Linked DNA regions of Schizosaccharomyces pombe. The protein of the gene in region 4 binds, or shares a complex with, the protein of the main gene of each other region. Each region holds a gene or a part of one and is shown on either strand. Other genes may lie near its edges.

Region 1 (7,696 bases), on a different chromosome or scaffold from region 4:
TGCTCCAGAATAGCGTATCCCGTTGAGCAGTATCCTATCGAGTAGAAATGTATGAGATTTGTCTTGAGAAAATGTGGACCGAATTGAAAAACACTCGAGAGAGAAGATAAAAGCAAAAAAACCAAAAAGCAAGAAAAGAAAAGAAAAGGGAGTAAAAACAAAGAAAAAATAGAAAAAACAAAACGAAACAGTAGAATTTATTATTGCGAAAAAAAAAAAAAGTCATTAATATTAACTGTCATCCCTCGCAAAGATGAAAATTATGAAAATAACAAATGGTAACAACCTACACTACCAGACGATTTACCCTTACCAGATGATTCCCCTTAGCCAGCCGATCGCAGTCTTTCCGCCTTGTTATTTCGTCTGCTTTGCTAGTTTATCAATATCGGGAAGAAAGCACATTTTATTCTTTAATTTTTTTTTTTTTACTTTTTCTACATTTTTTCTTTTAAAATGCAATTTCTTGAAAGACATTTTTCTGTTCTTTTTCCTGTTCTTTTTTTTTTTTCTTTTTACCCTATTTCTTTCGCACCCAACTTTGACTGGTCTACCTACGTTTCTCTGCATTACCCACTAACCCTGCCAAACCACCTAGCACTTATGTCATCTTACACACATCAGTCTCACTGTGGTACCAGTGTTTTTCATCAAGCACAGACACTGGTACATTTACATACATAGCAATGCATCATTTCATACATCCACACATATTCCAAGGGGCTAGTGAGTTGTGTGGCGTTTTAGCATGCAGAAAGTAAAATAGTAGAAAAAGAATTGAAATGAAAATAAGAAAAAAAGATTTAAATAAATAATATCAAATCAGAAAAATGAAATTAAATCCAATCCGACAGAATAAAAAAAAAAAAAAAAAAAAAGAAAAGAAATTCAAAATGCAGTGCAATGCAATACCAAACAATATTTGTAAGAATGCTTCCAAAGTAACGTGCAGTGGCTGGTTCTCCGACTTTGCTGACTGGGCTTCTTTGCGTCGCATCCTTTCGTTTCATTGTCTAGCCTATACTTTGCTTGAAACAAGGTCCGTTCATGCCAGCTCTGCATCGCTTTTTCTTGATTTATTTTCAAAGTGTCCACTTATAAAAATGGAATACGTCCATTTTGTATTGATAACGGCATGTTGATATATTTCTATCGCAAATAATAAATCTACTACGCCCGTCTTTTTCCGCATGCAACATCCATATGTACTCTGTGCTCCACCCGTACTTACGAATTATAGCTGCAGAATGTAGATTTGTTTAACAACGACAAAGTAATATACATAGCTAAAAAAATATAAATATTTCGATATAAATTAAAATGAAAATAAAAACAGAAAAAAAAAGTGTTTTGGTATAAAAATTTTCTTATACACTTTTCAAAATCATTTCCTTCTTTTTTCAAAATCATTTCCTTCTTATTTCGAAATCATTTCCTTCTTTTTGGTTTGAAATAAATTCATTGTTGTTATATGTTAGAGATATAGAAAATTAAATATAATTTAATATAATTAATAATAAAATGATTCTGTTATTTTCCGACCTTTTTTTTTCTTTTTTTCTCTCTCTCTCTCTCTCTCTCTCTCTTTCTATCTTCTTTACTTTAACTATATCTAACCAACTGTTTTAAAAATAATACAACCATTTTATTACTATCCTTGCAAAAATATTTTACGCCTTTCAATCAATAATAATACCTTTTATGAATACCCAGCTAATTCGGTTTGCCTTCATTTTCGACAAGACACTTTTTACCCATACAAAGTTTCGTGTAAACGATGGGCTTAATTCATATTCGTGTAGATTTGCAAACTACTTCATATACTACGTATATGCCTGTACAAACTTGCTCGTTTAAACCAAGTATGCAAGTAAAACCATCAAATAAATTAGAGACAAAGGTAAAGTACCAACAAATGAATCAAACAACCCTTTGGACAACCAAAATGTTTTTTCGGTAAATAATCATTTTACAAGTTGTGTACTTTGTTGCCTTCTCCTGTTTGTATGGTCAAAAGGAGAAATTTCTTTACCTAGTGTCTATCGAGCTTAGAAAATGTTAGCATCATTGCATTCGACAGGATTACGTCACTTATCGCTGGGCCTCTGGCATTTTTTCGTATAAATATACAGCATCACTGGCAACATTTTAAAAATTCCATAACACAACAGAAATCCATACATTTCACACAAAGTTTCGGTATAACCAAAAGTTTTCTTTTTTTATTCCATTTTTTTTTATTCTTTATTAATTAAAAATGGCTTTGACTGGCAGTGATATTTTCAAGGTATGTTTTTCCAGCTCATATATGGAGAAGGTGCAGGATCCTACTGAACTTGGCTTTCATTTTTGATTTGAGTTGATTCGATTTAACTTCTCTTGTTGTTTTGTTTCAACATCTCATGACTTTTTGACTCTGAGCGACTCGTTAATGTTTGAAATGACATGCTTTTAATTGTCGCCTGTCCTGTGTTTATGCTTGCGCTTGTTTTGAATCGCTCACATCGCATTGTTGTTACTAAATCAAATTGATTTCGCCAAGTGTCTTGGTTTCTACTTTCTCTTTTATAGCTACATTTTACTACGAAATTTTTTTTTTTGGTATTATAAAAAAAAAATTTCGCTTCTTTTTGACTCAATGCTAATATATGACACAGGTAATTTTCGCCATTATTCTCCCTCCCTTGGGCGTTTTCTTGGAACGTGGCTGTGGTGCTGACGTTATTATCAACATTCTTCTTTGTTGTCTTGGTTACGTTCCCGGTATTATTCACGCTCTCTATATCATCTTAAAATACTAAGCATCCCTCTATTTCAATCCTCTAATATTTGTTCTTTTCGCTACTTATCATGTTTATAAAGGAAAGTGAAATAGACATGTGTATTCTTTGCTTCTTCTCTTGTCTGTTCTAGGAATTTATTATTCGCTTCATTTAATACCAAATGTTGTGAGGATATCATGGCTTTTGTATTAGTAAACAAAAAAACGGATTTTCTTTACTAAGAAAAAAGTTCAAAATAGTATCACGGTTGTTTGCACTCATTTTTTTTTCCTTTCCCAAAATCGACTGTGCTTAACCATGATATCTTTTTTTATCCATAATTGGGCGAATGATTTTACCGTATACTTTTTGCTATAGCCCAATAGTCTTCTTGTTTTACATAAAAGAATGTTTTATCATTTGCTCAACTGGAACTTATATTCTTTAAATATATTAGTTTAACGGTTCTTTTTTTTGTGTCTTATTCATTATTTGTAACCAAAATGTATTTCAATAGTAGTGTGTAATGATTGATATCTGGGAATAGATTAGATTATTGATCTCTTCATGGTGCCCGCAGCCCAGTCTAACTTTAAGGATTGGCCAGCGACAGTTAAAAGTCGAAAAGTAAGTTTTGGCTTAACCTCAGGCTCTCGTTTGAAGTCAATCCATATCAATGTACATCTCTCATCACATTGACAATATATGGCTCTGGTTTAACGGCATTGAGGGTATGTGGATAGCTAGACTAGTGTTAATTTTCCTTTTATCATAGTACAGGGCATATTCAAAAAAATATGAGGATATCAACCTCCTCACATTTCTTCAACTATTCGTAAACAAAAATATATCCCATTGCTTCTTTTTTTCTTAAAAAAAAAAAAAAGATAGATTCCATTTTACATTAAATTAAGGTAGACGTGTCGGTAAATACGTAGCAATAGCTAGCAACCCAAAATCAAAGAAAGTTTTAAGGTGAACTGGTTGGTTTCGCTGGGGATTGTTCTTGTATTTTTTGATCCAGTTCACTTTTCAATTTTTCATGAGCTCGGAACACTTTGCTCTGGAGGTAAAAAGATCCTCCTTTTTTAGGATCATTAATCTCAAACATTTTTTGAAATCGTTTTTCTAACTCTCCTTCTTCTAATGATTCTGGCTTAATGTTTAAAATGCTACCAGCTTCTTGAATAGTCATTTCACCTCGACGAACAGCAGTTGATGATTTGGAAGCAGCAGCTTGACCAGTACTTTGTTGAGCTGCATTAGCAATCATTTGCTTATAAGCTTGTACAAAAGCTTTGCTCATTACTAATATTGTTAGGGTTTTTAATCTTTTGAATAAATCCTTGATAGGAGAATGGCCACAAACATACCTTGCGAACCAACAATTATAAATCGACCGACAGCCCTTGGAAGCGACATTTTTTAATGTAATATAGTAATTTTGAACAAATAATTATGATAAATGTCTTCCTTTATTTTATTTTCAGACATACACATGCCCTAAACAGGAATTTTCACAAATTTTCTTGTAAAAAGGGTGGTGGTAAAAATTCCTTATAAGGCAGATTTCATATCAAAGAATCTAATACTACTTCCAAATTACAACCTTGATTTAATAATAAGAAGCATAAAGTTCACTATTTTAGACAAAAAAATATTAATATATTATGAATTTGCTTTATATTCTTTACTTTGTTTTACTACTCGTCACAATTCAAAGATCATGTAAACTGATTGTAAATTCAAATCATCTTATTCATTAGGGCTTCTTATACTCGCTGAAACAGTATGGTAATGGAGCTTAAACATAGTGACTTAATAATAAATATCATATTAAAGCTTTAACTTCATACTGAAAAAGGAATGCCGTGAGCACCGGGAAATCCAGTCAATGTCAAGTCAATTGAAACGTTATCGATTACCTCAAAGTTAGTAGGATCTGGAAAAAGTTTCTCGGTCACGGAGCCAGGCTGTTCAAAATGCATCGCTTCAAGTTCCTTCAGCCTTCTTTGACATTCCGCAAACTCAACCATCGCTAGTTTATAACGTTCAACAGCTTCTTCCAAAAGTTGCTTTTCTAAAGCAATGTCCGAAACCTTTTTTTCCAATGAGTTGATCAACTCCTTTTGTTCATGAGTTTGGTTAGCAGTTTTAGAGCCTTCAGAGCTTTGTTCTTTATTTTGCTTTATCGCGGATTTTTCACGCTCCTCAAACTCCTTGAAACGATTATTGAAATTCTCGTTAGCTTCACTGAGTTTCGTGGCACGTTCATTTAAACTTTTCTCATGTTCTTCAACCTTTAATAGACGATTTTCAAGGTCCTTTTCACGTTTTTTAAGATCATCTTCTTTTCCATTCATCTTCAGTTCTCTTTTATTAATCTCATTCTCTCTGATTAACAGTTTTGACTGGAATTCCTCAAGAGCGGCTTCTCTTTTGGATACGAGTGTCTGCTTTCCTTCACTGTCATCCGCATTAGCTTTTAATGTTTCATAATCATAAGTTAAGTCGTTAATGCGTTCTTTTAATTCTTTGATTTTCTTATCCTTTTGTTCATTAAGATCATGCAGGGTTTTTACTTGTTTTTCTAGTTCATCTTTTTCTTGACTGCTTGTACTTCGAGAAGTGACCTCTGTTTCAACGTTCTTTTTTATTTCACCATCAGGCTTGGCTGCTTTATCCTCACTTTCTATTACCGCTAAATCCTCCTTCTCAGGCTTCTCCGCAACCGACTCATCTACAGAATTTTTAACGACATTTTCAGATGTTTCCGGAGACTGAGTAGAAGCATCGCCGGTGGATGCCTCAGCACCTTCAGCTGAAACTACATTCGAAGCAGAAATATCCTCAGTGTTTTCAACTACTTGAGTATTGTCATTGCCTGTAGGCTCATTTACTTGATTATTGCCATCATTAGATTCGCGGTCAACATTATCTTCGGCAACTGAATTTTTAGATTTAGCTTGGCGTTTTTTCTTCTTGACCTCCAGCAACTAGCACTCGTAAGTTAAATGTTACAAAATATTATGCATACCCTTTGTTTAGCTGCAGCTAGCTTTTCTTCACGATCTGACATCTTCAAATTTGATACAAGATGAAAATAAATCAACAGGGAGTTGTAGTGTGGGCAGAATCAGTAAAGTATAGGTAAGTAGGGAAAGTTTGCGTGAGGCTTAACAAGTCCACGGATAACCAAGCATACTAAATAAAGTAGAAACATAAATATAATATATATTTGATGAATGAAAAACTTAAAAAAATGGATTCATATTTTTTATACGCTAGAGAGTATAGGTATATTTTATTACGCTGATTCGGTTTGAAAATGAAGGAAGATACTCTCCAAAGTTAATGCAAGAGCAGAATCCTTTCATTAGTTTTTAAAGATTACTATGTGTATGATAATATTACTGTTTAAAGAGCAAAAGAAAGTAAATACAACCTTTGTTTTCAAGATCGATTCCGTGAATAATAAAAATCAACGTTGGCAACGCTTACAGTTCTTTACAACTTCAAACGGATTAAATAATCCGGTTTATTAAAAGACTCAACTAGCTTTGACTATGCCTATACTAATGAGTTTTTAATCGATCAATATATTATTGTGACTTAGTTCATCTAGCGACTGCTTTTTTTCATAGTCACTATTGAAGTAACAGTATTTTTTTGCTATATAAAGTGGTATTATGGTCACTTTACATTACCGTACTCGCTCAAGACAGTGCGAATAGGAAGGTTTTTTACCCGCATGGTATTTTGCTATGCATTCGTATTTGCTATTCACTGAGCGTATATAAATGAATGGATCTTTTAAGAGCTTGCTAACAAGATAACCTACTTGTACGCGAGTGTCAGAAGGTCCACATATTTGCTATAGATTAAAATTTATTATTACATTTAAAACAGATTCGTTAACAAAGAACCTTTTGAAATTACTTGAGTTAATGGTTTATTCTTTTCGCGAAATTCTATATCGCTGTAATTTGTGTGATCGTAGACTTCCTATTTGTGTTGGATGCGTACTAAAGTTTGCTTGGAATCCTGTTAATACATGTTTTTAAAAACCACTGAAAGTGTATAGCAATGCTTGTAGAGCGTATATCCAAGATTTAAATAATATGCTATGTAATTCTGTGCGATGGGTAATATAGTTAATTATTTAAATAGCTATAAAATATAGAACGACTACTGTTTAGGTTTGTCCATGCTACATCTTGGAAGAAAATAGAAATATAGTATTCTTGTTGGCTAATGCAATAAATCTTCAAGTTTATATAGCAAATTGTGAAGTCAGTATTCGTAAATTTGACAAAAATTTAATGATAATTTATTTTTTCAGATTTGCTGACTTTAAGTAGTCGGTATCTGCTTTTTATGCATAAACAAGAAGATTCAGTTCGAGGATCAGAATCCTTTTTTGTATCATCAAACTTGAAATTGTCTTATAACATCATTAAAGCCAACCGAGTGTACCAAGCATGCGATAATGTAAGTTTTAAGAATCATTCAAAAGTATATTTTTCAAAGCTTGAGCAACGACAGAAATAACCTGTAAAATTCTAATGAATCAATGGGCTGTGCAATCAATTTATAATCAGTTGAGATTTGTTGCTCTGAGAATAGTAATACTTACACGCCTTTACAAATAAGCGTGTTTTAGTCATTAAGTTAGAGCACTATCGTTGTTCGAATACAATAACAATTATTTAAAAAAGCGATGTGATGAGGAAAACAACAAAAAGCGTAGTACTGTCATTCAAATCAAAGTAATGTAAAAATAATGAACAATTTTAAACAATGATGATAGCTTCGATACTTGTCTCACAGCTCATATAAATCTTCGTTGACACCTTTTTCTATACTATGCTACTCAAATCAATTTGTCGGTCCGAAGAAGCGATGTATAACGTGTCACATAATGTTAATATAAA
Region 2 (8,030 bases), on a different chromosome or scaffold from region 4:
AATACTTCATGATAACGGTCGTAAATATTACTTAAATCCGTACGTGTTAATGTACCGTAATTTTGTAAACTCCTAATTTGTGTTCTCTTTGCAAATGACTCAATAGAATTCATAACTCCTTCGTAATGTTTTTTCCTTTCATCTTCAATTAAAGAGTGTGTTATATGGCTAAACTTCTTGAAAGCAGTTACCAATAAAAGTTGAAACTTCGTGATAGAGGCAACGCGTTTATCTGTTGCATCTTTATAAGCCTTATCTCCCAATGATGAAAAATAATTTTTTAAAATTGATATCAACATAGTGTCTTCTGTAGCCTTCATAATTTCAGCTTCGTTGTCATATAGGATAGCCATTCCAATTTGAAACAAAACCCTTGGACCCTCTAGAAAGAAAAAGTCTAACAACCTAAACGCATACGGTAAAGGCATTGTGCAAAGGAAAAGCGACAAAAACCACGGCAAAGAAATGATGCTAAGTTGAATGTCTTTGCTTACAAAATGCGCATGTAAGTTAGGCATTGAGCGTTGAACCAAACTTTCGTAAACTTGTTGATCAATTAGAGTGCCGTACATCGTCTTTGAGTAATAACCCGGAATGTAATCTTCACAAATCTTATGCATCAGAAAAAAGGTTTGTTCCTCGGTGCAATGAATTAAAAGAGCAGCTGCAACAATATTCATTGCCTGACAATAACCAACCTCTTGGTTTTTCCAAGAAAAGGCTACTAAAACATTTCGCAAAGCGTTGATACCTTCTTCATTTTGATAAGCAGGATATTCTGGAAGACTTCTACCTAAATCCTTTTCTATTTCCTCTAAAGAAAAAGATGTTTGACCAGAATACACTTTAAGAAGATGATCATATTCATCTGAATTCTCTAAACGAAAGTACATGGAGCCTGATGTAAGCTCCCATATTTCACCACGAAGTTTATTGGGCAATTCAATTCGGACCAATTTGGAGAAGAGAGAAACTCTGATTAACGAAAGATTTGCACCATAAAGTAAAAAATACTCTTTCCACATTCGTAGCTTTGCCCGTTCTCTAGAGATTCGAGGATCGGTGGGATAACCATATCGAGCACCGAATCCATAAGAATCTTTAGTTTCTGGTTCGGGAACATTGGGTTTGCAAAGGCGTTCAGAAAAGAACTGTTTGCTAAACTCGGAGGACCGCTGCATATCAGCTTTGTGAGATACAAGCTCTTCTCTCAGTAATTGGCAAAAATGTGCAGCAGTGGTTTCAGAAACCTGCAGAGATATTCTGTATTCGTAACCATTGCTTGTCGATACCGACAACAATTGCTCAAGATCATTGCTTTTCACTCGACTAACTTTTCGAATTATAGTATATGGCATACAAAATTGATTAGACTCATCATCACCTTGAAAAGCTATATAATCAGTAAATAAATAAAGCAGACCATTAAATGAATTAGGGTCTTCCAAGTTATTATAGTGGACAAATCGAAGTTGACAGGGCAAACTGTAGAGGGCAAATTGAGATTCAAGAAGTCGAAACTTCCATCGTAATTTGTTTAAGTTTTTTGAGGAATCAGGAAGTTTTAGCTTCGTCTTTATAAGACTGGCTAAAGAAGACATAGCTAGGCTTTTCTTCGAACTCAACAGCTAGTCTTAAAAGCCAATACCTGAAGGTTCTTGAAGCAACTATTTCTTAATATATCAACAGTTATAGAAAAATAAAAAAATGTTCAATTTTAAATCAGAATTTCAAAAGATTCAGTGTCGATAAGACAAAAGTAGATGCAATTTAGCAAATGACCCAATTCTAAATTACTCGATAGATCTCAGGGTGATAGATCCCCTTTTTTTATCTTTCCTGTTATTGAAAACTCTATAGAAGGAAAGAAAGCAAAACGTGTTGCCAAGCAACACTTATTGTGTAAGGGTAAATTTTACACCACGTTCGAGTAGTATGCAAGGCACCATTTCTTGATCTAAATAAAGACGTAAACCCTTGCGGTAGTGTATCGCTAAGAAGTGAGTTTATTTAGTAATAGTGTAATTACTGAGCTGGAAAAAATGAATATATCTCTCGAATATGCAATTCTGACGATATCAGTGCTGGATTAAAAACTATTCATTGACTAGATTCTTAATAAAGTTAAAAGCAACGGGATCACCCACAAACGATCTCATGCTTATCATTTGTAACTTTGAATATCTATCTATTAGATTAGGCTGATTGAGTAATGTCTTATACTATGGCTTAGTTCGAACAGGCTAGCTGCTTCCAATCAATACTTTATTAGCAAGTTTGTTATTACATATCTATTTTATAAAAAACAAAAAAATCATCTAAACTAGTCAAAATTCCTTACTAATTTGTAATACAGAACACTAGCTTAACTTCTACGAATACTTGAAAAGGAGGCTTAACCGTTAAAGCACATATCAACTTTCGGAACTTTAATATTCTATAAAACTAAATGATAGAATACATACCTTCCACTTGGTTCCACTTTTAACTCTTAAAGAAATGCTTTTGAGTAATCTTTAGAAGGAAATATCAAAATTCTTTAACCAGTTTGGGTGAAAGCTATAGTATTAAAGAGTAAAAATTTTATTTATAAATGTAAGTAAAAATAGGTACTATGTTGTGATAGCAAATCACTAAACAATAAACCCAAACCACACAAAAACATTGGATTCAAGTCCCCTCGGTAAAAATATAATAATGTACCCATAGCCCAAAAAATGCAATGAAACTTTTTACGATCTGTCTTTGACTATTAGTTTGCAGAAAAAAGCATCTGCACAGAAAGACTTCTGGTTCCCCTGAAAAGACTGAAAAAATCCAATAATACCACAAAGGACTTTCCAGACAAACATTGAGAGTTTAAAAATAAAAAAAAACCCCGAATTGGTCATTAAAATAATATAGGTGAAACGACGTATTCGTATGCTCCTTGCTATCATCTTTGACTAGCTCCTCTAGTCGTCTCCCTTAACAACACCAACCTTGGCAGGACGAATAACTCTTCCATTCAATTGAAAACCCTTGCTTTCGCAATGGAAGACAGTGTTGGGCTTTTTACCTTCAACAGGGATTTGGAAAACAGCTTCATGGATGTTAGGATCAAAATCTTCTCCGATACCGTCATAGCGAACTAAACCATATTTTCCTAAGGTTTTCATTAAGTTCGATTCAGTCATTGCTAAACCTTCATAAAGATCAACTAAATCCTTGTTGGACTCACGATTGTTACGCTTCTCCTCTGGAACAATTGAAAGAGCACGCTCCAAATTATCGACAGAATCCAAAAGATCCTTAGTAAGCTTTTGAACAGCAAATGCACGTGTTTGCTCCATGTCTCTCTTCATGCGGTTTTCCAAATTACGATAGTCAGCTAAGCTTTGGCGAATGCTACCCTTTAACTCCGCAACCTCTTTGTCCTTTGCTTCATATTTACTTTTAAGCTCAGAAAGCTTAGATTGAAGTTCCTTAACATCAACATTCTCTGTTTCGGCAACTTTTTCTTCAGCAGGCTTTTCTTCCTTAGCAGCCTCAGTTGAGTACCAAAGGAAACTGCGTTTATTAATGGGTGCTCGAATAAGCGTCCGAGGACGTACAGCGGATGAAAATACTCTTCCAAGCCCAAGCATTGTTTCAGTGAGAGCTTTGTGGTAAAAGACAACTGTGTCACACTATAGACAAATGGTGTTGTGAACTTAGCACTGTTAAATTTTACAAATATCAATTTCATCAACTTAAAAATTCGTTATGTTTCGTTAAATGAGGTATGGACTTTGAGATGGAAGCTGATTCAAAAAATATATAAATGACACTTTTTTCTCAAATTAAAGCTTCTATTTCGATATGTAACAAATTGATTGTAGGTTTGAACATGCATGTAGGAAAGCAACCCAAATTTCGAATTTGCTCAACACTGGAAGCCAACAACGGCTCATATGCTTATCAATTATTAATTTATTCTTTTCAGCTTCATTCTCAACAGATAATAATTAACTGATTTCTCATCTATATTTATATCCTTCTTGGTATGCTTTACGGCATTGGATTATATCGAAGTACTTACTTCGCAGCCTTTGAAAGTAAAATAATTGAATATTATAATTTAAGTTTTAAAATAATCCTATTTGTGTCATCTGGGCCATCTTATTATTTTTACATTCATCAGTTTATTTGCATAATGATATTTGTTGAACAATTTATGGGAGTCGAATTTTCACAAATTCCTATTATAATAATATCATATTCTTAATTACAGAAGTCTTCATAATAAAAGGTACCTTAGTTAAGTGTCAGATATGTCTTATCGGTATTGGACCTTACACTTTCATCCACCATCACTACTTAAACTCAGGAATACATTTGAGGATTGTAGAGGCAGAGCCATAGCTTTCTGTTAAATATTTATCTAAGCTTTGTGAAAATTTACGATTCAACCACTGAACACTTTTAATCGCCTACTAGTCCAGAAGTTGCGCTTTCAAGTAGCACCATACTCTCCTATTTTCCTGCTTGGACGTTTACCTAGATTTTCTAAATACTTATCTCTCTAAATCATGTCTTCACAATCATATCGAGAACGGACACTTGTTTCTGTAATTGGAGACGATGATACCGTTACTGGGATGCTTTTAGCTGGAACTGGTCAGGTAAATGAAAACGGTGACAAAAACTTTTTTATAATTACTCAGAGTAAGATTATCTGTTAAAAAATGGAATCGTGTTTTCGCTAACTTGCTGTTTTATGTAGAGACTACAGATGAGCAGATTGCTGAAGCTTTTGATGATTATACTACGAAAAGGAAGGATATTGCGATTGTATTGATTAACCAGTTTGCCGCTGAAAGAATACGTGATCGTATTGAAAACCATGTGCAGGCATTCCCTGCTGTATTGGAAATTCCTAGCAAAGACGATCCTTATGATCCTGAAAAGGACAGTATCCTCCGTCGTGTTAGAAAGATCATTGGAGAATAGACTATTAATATTTAATTATATTTTTTGAGCAATAATTTCAATTAGTCAACAACTCGATCGATTTGACTGATGACACTTTTATATTTGTATCTTTTGGTTTACTTACTGGCATACTAGCAAAAAATTGTAAGCAGAGTTTTTGTTAAACTATATTTGATAAATAGAAAAGTGATTATAAGAGAAATGTATTATTTTAAGTATAAATCTCATTCAACATCAAAACTGACATTACAACCACAAGAAGTCTTGGCACGTGGATTGTTTAAAAGTTGAAAAGAGGAACCAATAAGTTCATTTGTATACTCAATTTCAGAGCCACTTATCAAAGGTAATGAAATGTTGTCAGCAACAACCCTGGCTTTTCCACGCACAAATACCCTAGATATTTAGTCAATAACCAGGAAATACTTAATTAAAACTTATAGTCTTCTTAACCACATCACTTACGTGTCAGCATTTCCAATTTTGTTGTCCATGCGAAAAGATACTTGATATCCATGGCATCCACCACCATCGACAGTGACGCGCAAAACAGAGTTTTCTTCTGGTTTCCTTTCTGCAATTTTTTCTAACTGTTTTTTCGCTGAATCTTTCACGTATAAAATAAAAGGGATTCCCTTCTCGTCACATTGCTCTTGAAGCGTGAATTGGTCGTTCGCAAGCTTTGAGCTATAAAATCGATTTTTGATTTTGAATTCATTATTTATTTTGGGAAATATTTCTTTCGTTAATGTATTCGATTTCGCATCAATTCTACATGATCGAGAATTTCTAAGCGATCCATGCGATAGCTGTCGAATTGCGATCACAGGATTTAAGAGTGTTTGAAAACAACGTTCTCGAAAGAAAAATGGTCCTTTAAACAATAAGTTTACTCGCGATTTCATAAGCATCACTGCAAAGTATTATAGCCACAAGTTAGGACTTTCTAACTTGTAAACATACAGTAACGTAATAGAAGTCAAATTGCCTACGCTCTGTTTCGTTAATTCAGTATATTCCAAATTGGTGCTTATGTTTATGAGATAGAGAAGTTAAGTACATAAATGAAATAGTCATAACTTGACGAGTGTGTCATAGACTAAAGTCAAATTCAGGGATTTACCTATTAGTTAACACCCAATCTCTAAGAGATTTATATCGGATAGATTGAATTCGAACTTACAAAACTCTCACACCCATAGCTAGTAGAGAATAAGGGGAATTTATCAAATATATCTAGAATTATTTAATGTTCTTTTTTACTTATGTTGTATGCTACTAAATTTTGTGATGATTTATAGTCAAAATTAATATCTTTGGATTATTTTTACCTTTTGGTACTCCTACTCCTTTAATTCTCTTTCAGTTTTAAATGAATAGATTTTTAGCTATTAGAGATAATTTCAACCCATTTGGTTAATTCTTCTTCTGGATATTTATTGTCGATCCTTTAATTCTAGCATAGACCGGTGGATCACATCCAGAAAATGTCTTTATCACAATTGATGCCATTGCTACAATCTTCTACTTTAGCTAATTCTTTATCGTGATACCAGTGTATGTACTACCGCTTAATTACTATAAAGTTGCGGGTGTTCGTACAAGCACATATCACCGCAATTGTAATATTGAATCAGGTATAAGAGATCTTGGCTATTAGACTTAGAATTGGTTGTATCTGCAATAAAAAAAATAAATTATAAATTGCATGCCAATGAACAATAATTCACCCTTGCACGTAATTAATATTTATTAAAATGTAATTTACAATTTAACGTATGGTTGAAAATATTACATGTTTTATTTACTAAGAATTTGCAAAATTTAAAAATAAACAAAACTAGAAAATTAGAAAACTATTTTATTAAAAAAGATTGAAAGGCTGTAAATTAAGACCCTAAAGATGAGTACTGTTAATTTAAATAGATTTAATCTCTTAAAACAACAGCTAAAAAGTTACAGGTATACAAAAAATAATAAAAAAAACTAACAATAATCTAAGAAAGGCTTCTGATATCTTGAAGATCTTTTACTGTTGTATGTAATTTCACAAATAAAATAGAGAATCCATTTAAGCTCTTGAGTTTTAAATGAATATTTGATTCCTTTTTTATTATTATGAATACAAAGGAATTGCTCGATTAATAAAAACTATCAAATTGTTTAGCTTTCTTCATCCACAATCAAATGATTCTATTTTATTAAGGAACTTAATCTTCAAGAAGAAAATTCAGTTTTACATTCCATCTCCCTCTACCCTAAAAAGCTAAAGAATTACAAATATACTCGTATTTACGCGTTTCTCATAAATTCGTTGTAGGACTGGCCTGTCTTACGCTAACTCGTGTAGGTCGTTGTCTACGATACTCAACCAGAACTGCCCCCTATTGTTAGCTATTTGTTTGGTATTTCTACTGGTATTACCGCTACCAGTAAAAAATAAAATCAAAATATGAATGAATTAAAGCATGCGGTAGTTCCGATAGACTTACAATCTTTTTGTCTGGAAGGAACTTTGGCGTTGTGGGTTCCAGCTCTCGAAAACGACTCGGAAGACGATTCTGAAGCTATAGAAACAGCTGATGATAATGAAAAACTTTTTAAAAAGGAATGTGTAGCATATGATGCAGGTGTTTATACCTCAAATAAAAGCAAAGGTTCACAAACTTTACGATGGAGTATATTCCAAAACAGAACACTCACTATCTTTGATGTTTCATTAAATTCTAAGAAGGAGCCTTTATCAAAATTTAATGTGAAAATTCATTTTCCATCCAACGTAATGAAGGACGGTGTAGCTTTCTCGTTCAGTGAGCATTCCGACACGACCATTATATATGCTATTACTCACGCTCGCGTTTTGTATTATATTAGATTATCTAAAACTTGGTTCCAATTACCGGACGCTCGCTTAGACGACGATTGGTGTCTTTGTTACCGACCAATATCCTTTCTGAATCAAAAACCCGATTTAATGGCCGCAATTAGCACGTCTGAAATTTGTGTAAGCTTTTTCAATGGAGGTTTAACAAAGATTATATTAAATCCAAAAGACGCTAGTCACTACGAACAGCATA
Region 3 (8,410 bases), on a different chromosome or scaffold from region 4:
ACGCCTTGTATGTGATGGGAGAAGTGGCAGAGGTTGATTTCAATCGAACAAAGCGATTGGCCTAATATGATTTGTTTAGTTAGCTTATTTTCTTAGCACATATTATGTTTTTTAAGTGCATACCAAACGGCCGCATCTTCTTGCGAACATGGTGGTTAAGCGCAGAATGTTGTTACTAGGGTAGTGTGAACTCAACGCTTTGGGAAATTTTTCGGTTATTCAAACTTACAACTTTAGATACGTTTGATAGCGCATATTATATTACAATTTAGTTGATTTTATAAAAACATGTTTTATTTTCTTTTGTGCGTGTAACAAAAAAATCATAAGTCTGAAGGCTGTAGGCATTCAATTTTAAGCAAGTCTTTACCAAAAGATATACTTTTAAACAGGCATTTAAATATTAAGCATTTTCATGGATTTATTTATTTTTCTTTCATCCTTCCGTTTCATAAAAAAAAAAAAAATTCAACCGACACAGTATTCAAGATGTCGGAGATCTGGAGTATACTGATCTTGCACTGATTAGAGAAAATTGGATCGATTTTCAATAGTGGACTTTAGAAAATCTCATGGCTGTTAAAAAATTATAATAAGATAAAATTTACCCCTTTTTTTACTACTAAATAGCTAGCCTCTGAAATGTAATTCTATAGTCATGAACTACGAGAGTATCTCCAAAATACTATGAGTTAGCAGAATAATACTCCTATTGTTCGTTATAAATAAACAAGCTATACCTTTTTACAATTACAAAGTATCCATAAAATGAAGGTTTTTCTGTTTGAAGCTTGTAAATAACTATTATGCATGCAATATAGAAACTACTAAAATCATACAATAAACATACTCCCCTGATGTTTCGCAATTGGTTAAATAATAATGAAATTGTAACTTTTTTTATGTATTAAAGAGCTTGATATGTTGGCTCACCATTCCGTTCATCGAATAGCTCAATAGTATGGAAATACGAGAAATGCCCATGGAATTACAATACAAAAACAAATTTTGCTTAACTATCATAATTACCTATAGACTTAGTGAACAAGGGGGAAAATGTGTACATGATTTGAAAGGGATTTAGGACTCCTTGATCAATCAATCAAACAACAAGGAAAGGAGCGATAAAAACATCAAAAAATACGAAAATAAGAGCTCTTTTAAAATTAGGACGCATCAAAAATAAAAAATAAAAGATTTAAAATATTAATGCAAGCAAATGGTTGCTGTTTTACTGATTAATTACCATTTGTCCAGCACAAAAAAAATTTTTTTAATAATCATCACCACGTGATACAACTTCCTTCTGTGTAGGGTGAAGAATGATAGTATGCTCGAATTGAGCAGTGTAACTTCCTCTAATATCACATAAAGGTGGGTAATCTTGAACGATACCTGCAGAAACCAAGTTATTTAAAGCCAACAAATACTTAGATTCGCCAATTCTGTCCAAGTATCTACGACAGAAAGGAAGGGTACCAAAATTTTGAGTAATAGTGTTAAGCAGAGCCTTGGCACGGGGAAGACGAAGAGGGATATGGCCAGCATCAGGAATTTTGGCATAATGAGAGCATTCCATATCTTCGTGGACAACACCACGTCCGGTACTACCAAAAGTCTCAATAGCAAAAATCTCACCTTCCTCCATTTTAATTTCTTCACCGCCCTTGACGATGGGAACACTCTTACCACCATGAATGATATAAGGATCCAAATTGTGACCGCACAAATTACGGATAGACTTTACTTGATGTGTTTTTCCGTTAATTTCCACTTCATAACTTTCCATGACTTCCTGAATGGCTTCACCAATCTCGTTCAAGCGTGCATCAATTCCGGCTTCTTCAATACCCTTATTAGTAGCAGCCTTGACTGCGGCCAAAAGGTTGTCGTACTGGGGATCGAAAGACATGGTAAAAGCAGAATCAACAATCCTGCCGTTCACATGAACACCAATATCGACTTTCATAACATCTTTTTCCTTAAGTATGGTGGTATCACCAGCGTTGGGAGTATAATGGGCGGCACAATGATTTAAACTAACACCTGTGGGGAAACCAATACCTGATTTCAATCCATCCTCTTCGACCAAAGCCCGTGTAGTGTTTTCTATCGTGTTGACAACGTCCATCATAGACATGCCGGGCTTAATAACGGATTGAGCGTACTGACGAGCTTGGCGATGTACTTCAGCAGCACGACGCAAATCATTATACTGATCAAAATTTTGTCGGTCCAAAGCGCGCTTCTCTTCGTCAGTTGTACGCCACAGATTGTCTTCAGCATAATCACAAACTTCACCAACGGGATATTTCTTATTGACAAAGATCTTGGACAATCCGACAGTTGGAGGATTGGTTTGTTCTTGAGGGGTCTTTTTCTTTTTAGAAGACTTTTTTTTCTTTTTTTTCTTCTTTTCTCCATTGCTGGCTCCTTCTTCAGCGGCATCATTTTCCTCTACTTTTCCATCATCTTCAACCACGTCGTTCTCTTTCAGCGAAAGCTTCTCCTGTAAATCTTTAGCGGTAGCTTCAGTAGTTGTCGCAGAAGTCATTGTTTAAGATTGTTAAATCCTGTCTAAACAAATCTGATATAGGAGGAAGTTGAGTATATGTACCTCCACAGGTTACAACAGTGCTACCACCAAAAACCAGTAGTCATGGCAACCTATGCCTCAATTTTAGGAGATTATAATATACAAACAAAAGGATTGAGATTTACTTAATTAAAGGTTTAAAAAGGGATAATGAGTCGGATATCAAGCAACAAGTATCCATTTTAATTTTAAAACCAACCGTTTATTAATTTATGAAAGGTCAAATTCTCTACATCTATTTGTTAATATAAATGTTCCAAATTTTTCCCAATTTAAAATATTTCTTGCACTATTTAATCCAAAACTATTGGAAATATTATAAAACATGTTAAAGTGATTATGATATTGAGCTAAAAAATGCACGCGTCCTAAAATACGATTGTTGAAAAAGTATTAAACACGCGTATCCTTTAAGAAAAAGATAGCAAAACCTCAATTCTTAAACCCATCCCGCAAAACCCGAGTTAAATAAAAGATTTTAAATTAATAAAATCTTCTACTACATTAAAGACTTTTCAAAGTAGACAAACGAAAAATGTGATAAAAAAAAGAATGACAAGCTTAGACTTGTCATCAAAAAGAAACAAAAAAAAAAAGAAGATCGATCATTAGGGAATATCAGCGGTCTTCTTAAGTAGATGATGGTGGACATAGTCCAGGAAATCCAAGAGTTATTTCCAAACTTGACAAAACTTTTGAAATATTAAATAGTAATTAATCATATGAGTGACAGAGAAATATAACCCAAACGAAATATGCTATGCAGGAAGAAAAAATCTGATTCCAAAAAAAATGTTTACATGTTAAAATTAGAAGCCGATAGAAAGACAAATGTTTGGAATATTTTCGCATTTAGAAATAATCAACGGCTCGTGCACGTGCGAAATCAACGATACGCCAACCTCTTGTCTCCGGATTATCAAGCTCGTCTTCTACACGTGTAAAGACAGAAGCATAAGTACATTGTTGAATACGATCATCCTTTCCTGCAACTAATTCGCCACTGCTAGCATCTTTAAACATATGGACCTCTTGAGTACGAAAAGTGACGATAAAAACGGGAATATCATTTGGCTGTAAAAGTCTTTGAGACATGATGTCGACGCCACGAATGTCAAGGATTTTACCAACACTAACAACTCCATGTTTCGCATATTCCTTGGTAGTAGTTTCATATACGGAAAAGGGGGCTTCCGAAAGCCAAGTCTTCAACACTTCTTTGTCTCCTTTAACATATGCCTCGGTAACTTCCGGGACAATATATTCTCTTAAATATTGAAGGAAATGCTCGGTATTAAAGGATGGGTCAATCTCTTTAAAGCGTCGCATAACCTGCGATGCTTCAGTTTCTGAAAACATTCGAGACCAAACGCCACTAATACTGTCGGCCATGTCACGAATGGAGGAGACAATAGGATGTTCAGACTCCTGATAACTTTTTTTAAGCTCTTGAATTTTACGAACTAAACGCGATTCGTTTTTTATTTGCTCAACCTTATTCTTCCACGACGGGTTGCTATGTACGACGACGCTTTGGACGTCTTCGTTAGGCTGAATCCTTGCCGAGCTAGCAAACATTCTGTTTCGACGTTCAAATTCTTCACGCAATTTTTTACGTTGTTCCTTGTCAGCATAAAATCCATAACGTGAAGAGGTGCTACCATCAGACATTGTTTGCTTAATTGTTTTATAAAATGCAGTTTCACGTACGGGTTTTGTGGCAGTGTCAACACCAGTAGCTACAGTATTAGCGGTGCTTGAAATGACCTTTTTTGATAATTGTACAGGAGCACTTTCCCAAGCTTTTTGGGCATATGAGCCAATCTTGGCACCAGCTTTGCCAACAGTTTTTCCTGTGAAAGATGAAGCTGCAGTAGTTCCCGAGCGCGCTTTTTCGTAAGCATCTCTCGCTTTTTTGAAAGTGTCGCTTTCACTTAATGATCCTGAACTATCTTGCAATGCTTTGACACTGTCCTGTAATTCCTGGCTCTTCTTTAATTCTGCTCTAAATGTATCCATGAACACCTTGATTGGCGATTGAGGTGCTGCATTTTGAGAGAATATAGACGTTTGGAAAAACCGCTGGCATTGAACTATTGTGCGGGCATTTTTTGTGATTTTTCTTGATAGAAACATTTTCTTTCCTATTGAATAAATAAATCTCAACGCTATTACGCGAAAATTAATCCACTTTGCTGCCTTTTATTGCAAACCGATATAGCAGCCTAGTGAGTGGTGGATGGAAGGTTCAAGTGCCACAAAGGTGGAAAGATACCTTAATCCTAAATATCGAGAAGTAGTCTTTTGTTAACAAAAGTTAGCATATTCTCTTATATTTGGACTTTTTTACTTTACTAAGAGGAGTTTACGATTAGAATTTTTACGAATTCGCTCATTTTATCTGAAATGCAACTATTAAAATATTGATATAGAGGGAAGCATAAATTACGCATGATCCTAATATATTAAAGAATAAGAGTACCGATCAATTTCCTTTCGTATTGGTTGAAACAGTCGTAGCTGTTGCTTACAATATTGTTGGGAATCGATACCATGTGGGTGGTAAGAGATCGTATGAAGTTATGAAAAAAAGTATTCAATAAGCAGCATAGATATATTACAATGCGTTATATAGAACTGGATAATTTGAGTATGTAGCGGGTTTTGGAGATAAAAGCAATAGTATTAATTAGCATTTTGAAGTTTCGTTTATTCATTTGTAGAGATTTTTCAAATCTAGAAAAATTTAAAGATCTCTTAATTTTGTATCTTTTTTTTTTTTTTTATCAGTTTGATAGAATGTTTGTATGTAATTCTTTCTAATAACATGCGACGTTTGTTGTGCCCCTAAGTTTCTTTGATGAAATTTATTTGAAAATAAGGAAGTAGCTGGTTTATACAGAATTCAAAAGGCGCATTTAAGTTGTAGTAAACCTCGAATTTTTCTGATGATTAATGTGTTTCATGATTTTTTATGAAAACAGTTGTTGAAGCTCCTATATTATTTATCACAGGTTGTAAATTTTCAGCTTCAATAACGAAATGGGATACTTAAAGTCATAACTGATCAATTTTGGCAGACAGATCTAGCTTTAAAAGCTTAGATTCATTCAACATCAAGTTTATACGAAATGATCAGTTGTAATACACTTCCAACTTTTCTGATAATGATTCAGAATGATTACAACATAGTATAGTTGGAATGTAAAATTATTTGTTTCATGAAGAACTGGTTTTCCATCTTGAACACTAGACGATAAAAGCAACCTGAATATCATAAATCATCTTCAATCCAATTAAGCAATTCAAAAACAAAACAAAACAATTTATTATGCATTTGTAAAAGTAAAAATTTAAAAGGTGATCATATTTCTTCAAATTATCGCTTTGTTTACTATTTTAAATTGTGCAGGTCACAATTGAATGTCACCTGTGAAATAATAAACCAGCCTTGGACTATAGACAACGATGTTGCCAAGAACCATGTTTTCATATGGAAAAGAAAACGCTTTTCCTGTAACTCCCATATCAAACAGAAATGGTACAAAAGGAGCGGGCTCCAAAAGAGCACCATTGGGGTCTACAAAGCAGTCGAATGCACCTTCTTCTGTAACGGTTCCTAGAACGGTACTGGGAGGTAAGAGTACTAACATTTCCAAATTTATTTCTGCTCCCAGTACAAAGAAAATGTCTCCTATGGATATTTCGATGGATTCCCCTACTATTTTGGAGCCAAACTCACAAGGAATTTCCCGATCAGCCGTACAAGAGCGGTCGAAGCGACTTTCGGCTAGCCCTCGTCGTTCCTCTTTAACAGACACTCCTTTACCAAATGAACTTGAAGAAGATATCGAATATATGCCTCCTCCTGTTCATTTGGACCCCATTCAATCCCTGGGGTTTGACGACGTTGCAATTGATTGTGAAACGCTCGATCCTTGGCCTAGCATGCAGAATAAGGCTACCTCAGTAACTATTCGTAATACACCTGCATCAGATTTCCATGTTTACAAGGAGTTCAGTGATGATGATCCTATACAATTTCCTCTGCTCAGCGTAGACGGTGACTCCCCGTTAACAGAAAAGGATACTAACCTGACAACACCCGCTACCTTGAAAGCTTCTGATCAACAAAGAAAGGTTCTCGAAAAGCCTTCTGTCAGCAAACAATCCTCTTCCAGAACACGACTCAGTACCGTTTATCGCACCAAGCTGGCATCTGGTAAATCCATCCCTCGACCCTTATCTCATAAACTCACACGACCCCGAGTAACTGCATCTGGCAATAGCCGTCGGCGCCCTTTATCTCGTTCTATTCATTCGTTATCATCTTCACGAATTGATTTTTCATCTTTGGATACAGGATTGTTATAAAAAGATTCCGAATTTTCAGGTTTTGTGCGTACTGGCTTCCGCTTCTACGATTGTAAGTATGATTCTTCCGATGGCTTTGATTTCCCTTGTTGTTTAATTTGTTTCACCACTTTAATGCTGTTCTTTTTTTTTTTTTTTTTACTTAAATGCATAAAGCCTATACGGTCCTTAATTTATGACATGTTTTTCGTTCATGACTTTTCTGTACAAATGATTTCCTTTTCTATATGCTTTTTTTTTTTTGGCTTTTCTGGTTCAATATTTTACTATTGTAATGTAGATGAATTATGTTAATAATATTGTTATTTTCATTCTACGTTGATGAATATTATAAATACTAGTAGGTAAGATGCTGAGGAATAGAACATTTTCCAGTGTTAGTAGTAGTAAAGTGACTGATAAAGAGCAAAGGTATCCAAAAATTTTGGCTACACATAAAAATATGTACTAGGTCAAAGACAAATTTCTGTGTTTTACAGCAGATGCACACATTCCAAAAAAAATTAAGATGATTGAAAAAAAAACACTATATAAACGAAAACTAAAATGATCATCTAAAAAAAAAAAGGATGCAAATTAGCACAAAACAATTATATCAGCTACTTCTACTACAACAACAGTTTACTTTAATACTAATAATAAATAAACACGCAACCTGGCAAATTAATCCAAAACGCAAAAAGGATAAAAATTTCATTGCATTCTATAAAAATAAACATGTATTGTAAACATTAGTAAAATTTAATGTATGCTCAGAGTTTAAAACTTAGCAGCCTTGATGTACTTGCCAGCATGGGCACCAGCGTAAACACCCTCGGAACCGAGTTCCTCCTCGATACGGAGAAGCTCGTTGTACTTGGCCAAACGCTCGGAACGGCAAGGAGCACCAGACTTAAGTTGACCGGCACCAATACCAACAGTCAAGTGGGAGATGAAGGTGTCAGCGGTCTCACCGGAACGGTGAGAAACCATAACACCCCAACCAGCCTCGTAGGACATGCGGACGGCGTTCAAAGACTCGGTGACGGAACCGATTTGGTTGACCTTCAAAAGAAGAGCGTTAGCGCACTTCTTGTCGATGGCGGTACGAAGACGCTTGACGTTGGTAACAGTCAAATCGTCACCGACAATTTGGAAGTCGGTCTCAGCCTTCATGTGAGTCCAGGCAGACCAGTCATCTTGGTCGAAGGGGTCCTCAATGGAGACAATGGGGTACTTCTTGGAGAGCTCGACGTAAAGGTCGGTAAGTTGTTGGTAGGTAAGCTTGTTCTCGGGCTTGGGCTTGGCGGCCTTGATGTCAAGGTCGTACTTGCCGTCAACGTAGAACTCGGAGGAGGCAACATCAAGACCAATCTTGATCTTACCCTCGTAACCAGCCTTGTTGATGGCCTCAACAATAAGGTCAAGAGCCTCTTGAGGGGTTTGCAAATCGGGAGCAAT
Region 4 (5,365 bases):
CTAGCTGACGGTGCTTTTTTTCTTCTCTTTCTTTCATCCATCGTAAAACTTCGAGACGTTCTTCATCAAGTGCCGATTCCAATGATCCTGCAGATTTTCCACCACCAGAGTAAAGAGCCGAAGTCATCCTTTAACAAATAATAAATAATTCAAGTTAGTTCGCTTTAACTAACTCAAATGTATGAATTGCCCTCACTAGTTTGTTTACTTCCGTTAGGTGGTAGATACAAGGTTGCCTCGTTTTCAACCTACGAATCCTACAAATAGCGCGCAGCGAAACAACATTTGATCTCCTTCGCTAATTTATTACATCAAAACTATATTAATGTTTACACATAAAGGTTCTTGAATTTTGGAGGAGTAATCAAGTTAAAACTGATACTGTAAACTATTAATTATGTTTTCAAAGGTTTAGCTATATTCTTTTTATTTGATCAGTTTCAGTCTTGTAATTTATAAATTGAACCAATGCATTTTTTAATTGTTATTAAAATTGTGTACTGGCATGTCATGCATTACAAACAAAAATGTTATATATTTATAATCTTCTAATATCTGCTTCTAATGGTTTTACCATGTCAGTTGTACAACAATCATAGAACAGACGGCAAAAGCTTGTTGCAAAAGATAAAATTCAATAGCAGGAGTGACATGTACAACAAATTATGTAAGAAATTGTATGCACGGTAAATTATAATTAAGATAATCATTACTAGAATTTCTCTACACATGGACAAAAACACTTGCTTGAGAAAAGTCTGTACTATAAGTTGAGACTATACAGATTTCAATAGATGAACTTCTTTTCACAAATACTGATACGGCAATGCTTCTGTATCCTTTTAGTTATCGTGTTAAGAAAAGAACCTCATCCACAATTCTATATGACAAGCTATCACTTCAACACTTCTAATTTAACGATTGCTTGTACGCCAAAATGCCCGTTGTATGTAAGCCTTCTGATCCCTCAACCAACGTCGATAGTCCTTTGCATAAAAGTTAGTAATCAGTGTACAAAGTAAATGAGTAGATAACACATATCACATACAGAAAGGGAGTAAATTTTCTCACCGTAATAATCTAATTAAGAGTTAGACATCAATCATGACGCAGCCTTCACAGCATACCTGGGATAGGATTAGAATAGCTTTCCATTTGAGGTGTAACCCTGTTTTTAACCAAGTGACGGTAAAATTCTTGTTCTCTCTAAAAAATTAAATATATTAGAATACTTTCAGAAAACATAGTCCGTAGATGCTAACATAACCCCTATTATCTAAGGGAATGAACGTACCGCTGCAATTTGTCTCGCTTGACTTTTATGAAGCAGTGTCCATATTTTTCTACCTATACTAGGGCCCAAAAGCCATCCAAGCCCTCCGGATGCAATAGTTCCAATAACATATAGAGTAAATAGATCAAGACCCATAATAGTCATGGTAGGGTCAACAGTACGCGTAAGAAAATAGGCGGATCCTAATCCTAGTCCGGTAAGTGCAGTAGGAATAGAAGTTAAGGTTTCAAAAATCCTTCTGCTTTTTCTTAATTTCAGGAATGTGGGCCAATTTAAATCTTGAGGTTTCTTCTGTTTTATAGACTCAGTGGAATAAGTTTTTACATTATAACAAGTTTTCCATAAAGTTAAAAATATTTTGGGACTTTGTAATCTTTTTACAACTAGACCAGGCCGTATAATAGGTATCATAACGAATCCTTGCTTGTTGGAAAATGTATACTTCATATACGTATCGCCTCAATTGCTCTTCTCTTTTTAACGTATTTTGTTTATTATTCCTTAGCAAGCGCGGACGCATACTAGGAAACGCAACTTTTTTTGAAAGTACGCTAAAATAGCTTAGTGAGATATAAATGAGAGTTTAAGTAAATTATTTGAAACAATATTACGGTTCGTGTATTTCGCCATTCTCCTATTTTATTCATATCCTTGAGTCAGTTGCAAGTTTAGTGTATTTTTTTATTAAAAATCCATATTATTATTTATTTATCAGCATTTGAAAGTCTGTCACTTGCTGTTGGATTTAGTATAATGTCTGGGAATTCAGGCGCCTCTGAATCGATTTCTATTGAGGAGACCAATAGAATTAGAATTTCGCTAGGCCTCAAACCCTTAGATATTTCAGAAGAAAAACCTCAGAAAGAACTTTCAGATGCTTCAGTCAAGTCTTCGTATGTCGATCAAGAACAACAGGCCTATGAAAATTGGAAGAAACAAGAGCAGGAGGAAATAAATAGGAAGAAAGAAGAAGAACTGAAAAGCAAATTTGAAAAATTACGGCAAAAGAATGAACGAAGACGCAGAACGCAAGGAAAAACACTCGCTGAAACATTGGCAGAAGAGGATGATCAAATCGATGCTAACGATACTCGAGCGTGGATACTCAAAATGCGTAATTCCTCATTGAATAAAAATGGCAATGGATTGAATTTTGAAGCGAAGAATGACGCCCCCAGAAGATCCACTCTACATTCGCAAAATGCTGGTCCCAATGTGAATAGCTCATTAGAAGGAATGAAAATAGCACACGGTTTTCAAGATTTAAACAAGAACGATGGTCTAGTCCTTACATTGAAAGATGCTGATATATTAGACGAAGATAATCATGATCTATTAGAAAATGTTGAAATGGTCCAGCGGAAGACTAAAAACGAAAGGAAGGAAGATAACCCCTACAAACCGTATGAAGATGAGAATGATTTTCTTCAACAGTCGGAAGCAGATCAACCGTCTGAAGATACTTTTACGACCATTGGTCCACAAAATAGTCTCACTGTTAATTCTACTATAGAAAAACATAAATCTGATAATAAAAAAACTTTTGGGACTCTTGTCTCTTTCGTTGAACCAACTATCACTGGCAGCGAACAATCAGATTATCGACAAATAAAGATTAAGAAGTCAAAAAAGAAAAAGTCAAAGTCTGATCGGAGAAAGCGTCTAGTAGAACTTGATGCAGAAAATGAAAATGAAAATGACCCATCTGATTTCGTGCTACCGAATGGTCAGAGTAACAGTGATCTGTCAGTTGAGCAAGATTCGGCTATTTTCAAAGAACAAAAGAAAATGAAGATTCAAAAGCGTATGCGCGAATTAGAAACACAGTCGTTTGCTGATGATGATGATTTGCAACAGTCAATTGCAATGCAGAGGAGGCTAGCTCAAAAAAGAGCGAAAATACTTAAGCCAGAAGATGTAGCTGAGCAATTGCAGAATGCCGAAGAAGTCACAGATATGACGGACTCGGACACGGCTTCCGGTTTAATATTTGATGATACGCGTGCTTTTGTTAATAGCATAAAGGAAACTGAAAATCGAGAAGCTCTTGGTTCCATAAATGAACAAGCATTTGAAGATTCCAAAGATTTGAACGATACCAATAGTATTACTGGAAGTTCTCCAACTGAAGAAAGTAATGCTTTAGTGGAAGACACCTCGGTTGATATTTCTGCAACTCTCGAAGAAGCCAATACGCAGCAGGAGAATGCAGAAGATGAGCCACTTGTCTCTGACAATGTTGGTGCAGTTCTAAGCCTTCTCCGGAATAAAGGCGTAATTAAAGTGTCGGATGAAGCGAAAGAGAAAATACAAAAAGAAGAAGAGTACAATAAATGGTTTGCCAGAAAACAGCAAGCCAGAGTTGAACTGGAGGAGCAACGTAGAAAGAAAAAAGAACAAGATCGTCTCAGCGGGAAATTTGAAAAAATGACTCAGAAGGAACGTGAACAGTATGCAAAAAAAGAAAATGAAAGATGGGATAAAAAAATTGCGGAGATAGAGCTTGAACAATTTCATGATTATAAACCTCAGGTGGACATAAAGTATGTTGACGAGTTTGGTGTGGAACTTGGTCCCAAAGAAGCATACAAATATTTGTTGTCTCATCAATTTCATGGAAAAGGTTCAGGTAAAGCTAAAACAGAAAAGCGTTTGCGTCGTATCGTTGAAAAGGAACGAGAAGAACGCAAGCCAATTTTCTGAAAGTACATATTTTATGTTTTTATTTTTTTAATTTATGGTTATGTGGTAGTAATAATGCATCATTTATAATTTCATTTTTTGAGTGACTTCTAAAGGCAGACAAAAACGAGGGTCAACGGGTTCTATGTTTGGAAACTGTAATAGTGATAATCCTGCAAGAGAAAAACATGTGTGATAAACGTCTGTGGCATCCTCTTTTCGGTCTGCAAACCCTCCGCTGTCTGCATCTTGTGTACCTAGAAGAAAATCAATAAGCTGATTACGGTCTATCCAATCTAATTTTCCAATAATTGCTAACGGTGAGAGATCCCACCAACCGTAACAGGACTAGAACTATTAGTAAACATGCTAGACAAAGAGCAATCTTCGTACATCAGGTAACTTTTCAGGGCGACCATTTAATCCACCTCCTTTAACTTGCCGTTCACTAATCCACCAACCCAATAATTCTTCATCAATTAAATCTAACTTGTTGAGAATTTTGAGAGCGGCAACACAGGTAAAAACTATTAGGTCAATAATTGGGTTTTGAAATTAAACATACCCATCGCTCCATGTGACTCAGCTCCAGGACAGAGTCCAAACCCACCATCAAAATTATAGCATTTCATTAACCAATCCACGGCAGTATTTTTATTAAGATAGTCCAATTTACCTAGTATTGCCAGACAATTTATTCCAGAATATAGAAATCTAGCGTCTATCTCTCCCCAGCGGTCTCCTTTCATAGAACCATCTTCGTTCTGTAGGCCAATAATGTCTAATTATTTATAAATTAGTTAAGGATCGCATGTACAAATACAAAGAAACTTACAAGAAGCAACTTTATCTTTGTCAACGACATGCAAAGAGTCCAACATTGCTAAAACTTGTACAGCGTATACTGTATTCGTAATGTGATCATCGTGTCCTGGATAACAAGCAAATCCGCCTAACTCATTGTTAGCAGCCCGTATCAATATTTCAGTATCAGTAATATAACTAACCGCTTTCTGTCAAACAAGACAACAGAAACGATACAATACGTTCTTTGTCAATTTGATCTTTCTTCTTCAATAGCCAGAAGCTCATGCAACTCCAATATATTGCGCTGACGTGTAAATGCTCCTTCAACCAGAAATCCAGCTCATCAGTTCGCTGTTTGTAAGAAAATTGAATTATTAAACTATTTTCTTTTCGCTTACATTTCCAATATCGTGTAAGTAACTTATGTGCTTATCTCTCAGTAAAACTGCCATGTTTTGAGCAATTGTATGAACAGGTAGACGGTTCGTTATGCAATGGTTGAAAACTGAGTGTAATGATCAGTAAGATCTGACAGTTCACGATCCTTCCTCTTTTTGAAATTAAATAACAGCTTTAGATATA

Evidence for each region.
Region 1: pam17 (region 4) and tim16 share a complex: the UniProt entries of both Schizosaccharomyces pombe proteins name them as parts of the PAM complex.
Region 2: pam17 (region 4) and mge1 share a complex: the UniProt entries of both Schizosaccharomyces pombe proteins name them as parts of the PAM complex.
Region 3: pam17 (region 4) and tim44 share a complex: the UniProt entries of both Schizosaccharomyces pombe proteins name them as parts of the PAM complex.

What each region holds. Positions count from the first base shown.
Region 1 is NC_003423.3:883,104-890,799, reverse strand, and holds tim16 (TIM23 translocase complex subunit Tim16), read right to left. Parts: upstream 4,308-7,696; 5' UTR 4,185-4,307; coding exon 4,136-4,184; exon of another isoform or gene 4,071-4,135; coding exon 3,733-4,070; 3' UTR 3,153-3,732; downstream 1-3,152. Other genes in the region: SPOM_SPBC713.14C (uncharacterized protein), read left to right, coding at 457-684; plasma membrane proteolipid Pmp3, read left to right, coding at 2,258-2,287, 2,658-2,801; SPOM_SPBC713.09 (uncharacterized protein), read right to left, coding at 4,613-5,758, 5,800-5,841. UniProt on the Schizosaccharomyces pombe protein: Essential component of the PAM complex, a complex required for the translocation of transit peptide-containing proteins from the inner membrane into the mitochondrial matrix in an ATP-dependent manner.
Region 2 is NC_003423.3:4,018,143-4,026,172, reverse strand, and holds mge1 (GrpE domain-containing chaperone mge1), read right to left. Parts: upstream 3,657-8,030; 5' UTR 3,627-3,656; coding exon 2,955-3,626; 3' UTR 2,401-2,954; downstream 1-2,400. Other genes in the region: SPOM_SPBC215.01 (GTPase-activating protein), read right to left, coding at 1-1,601; vma7 (V-type ATPase V1 subunit F), read left to right, coding at 4,551-4,686, 4,745-4,971; Fe-sulfur protein Isa2, read right to left, coding at 5,178-5,349, 5,419-5,864; nucleoporin, WD repeat Nup120, read left to right, coding at 7,406-8,030. UniProt on the Schizosaccharomyces pombe protein: Essential component of the PAM complex, a complex required for the translocation of transit peptide-containing proteins from the inner membrane into the mitochondrial matrix in an ATP-dependent manner.
Region 3 is NC_003423.3:2,201,876-2,210,285, reverse strand, and holds tim44 (TIM23 translocase complex subunit Tim44), read right to left. Parts: upstream 4,824-8,410; 5' UTR 4,733-4,823; coding exon 3,449-4,732; 3' UTR 2,913-3,448; downstream 1-2,912. Other genes in the region: acetolactate synthase regulatory subunit Ilv6, read right to left, coding at 1-61, 124-150; methionine aminopeptidase Fma2, read right to left, coding at 1,274-2,554; securin cut2, read left to right, coding at 6,080-6,970; eno101 (enolase), read right to left, coding at 7,730-8,410. UniProt on the Schizosaccharomyces pombe protein: Essential component of the PAM complex, a complex required for the translocation of transit peptide-containing proteins from the inner membrane into the mitochondrial matrix in an ATP-dependent manner.
Region 4 is NC_003424.3:1,553,087-1,558,451, forward strand, and holds pam17 (putative TIM23 translocase complex-associated motor subunit Pam17), read right to left. Parts: upstream 1,735-5,365; 5' UTR 1,706-1,734; coding exon 1,295-1,705; intron 1,207-1,294; coding exon 1,128-1,206; intron 1,081-1,127; coding exon 1,049-1,080; intron 987-1,048; coding exon 915-986; 3' UTR 501-914; downstream 1-500. Other genes in the region: protein Dbs2, read right to left, coding at 1-127; U4/U5/U6 small nuclear ribonucleoprotein complex subunit Snu66, read left to right, coding at 2,048-3,997; geranylgeranyltransferase type 2 beta subunit Ptb1, read right to left, coding at 4,061-4,324, 4,370-4,503, 4,542-4,757, 4,812-4,928, 4,984-5,134, 5,182-5,235. UniProt on the Schizosaccharomyces pombe protein: Component of the PAM complex, a complex required for the translocation of transit peptide-containing proteins from the inner membrane into the mitochondrial matrix in an ATP-dependent manner.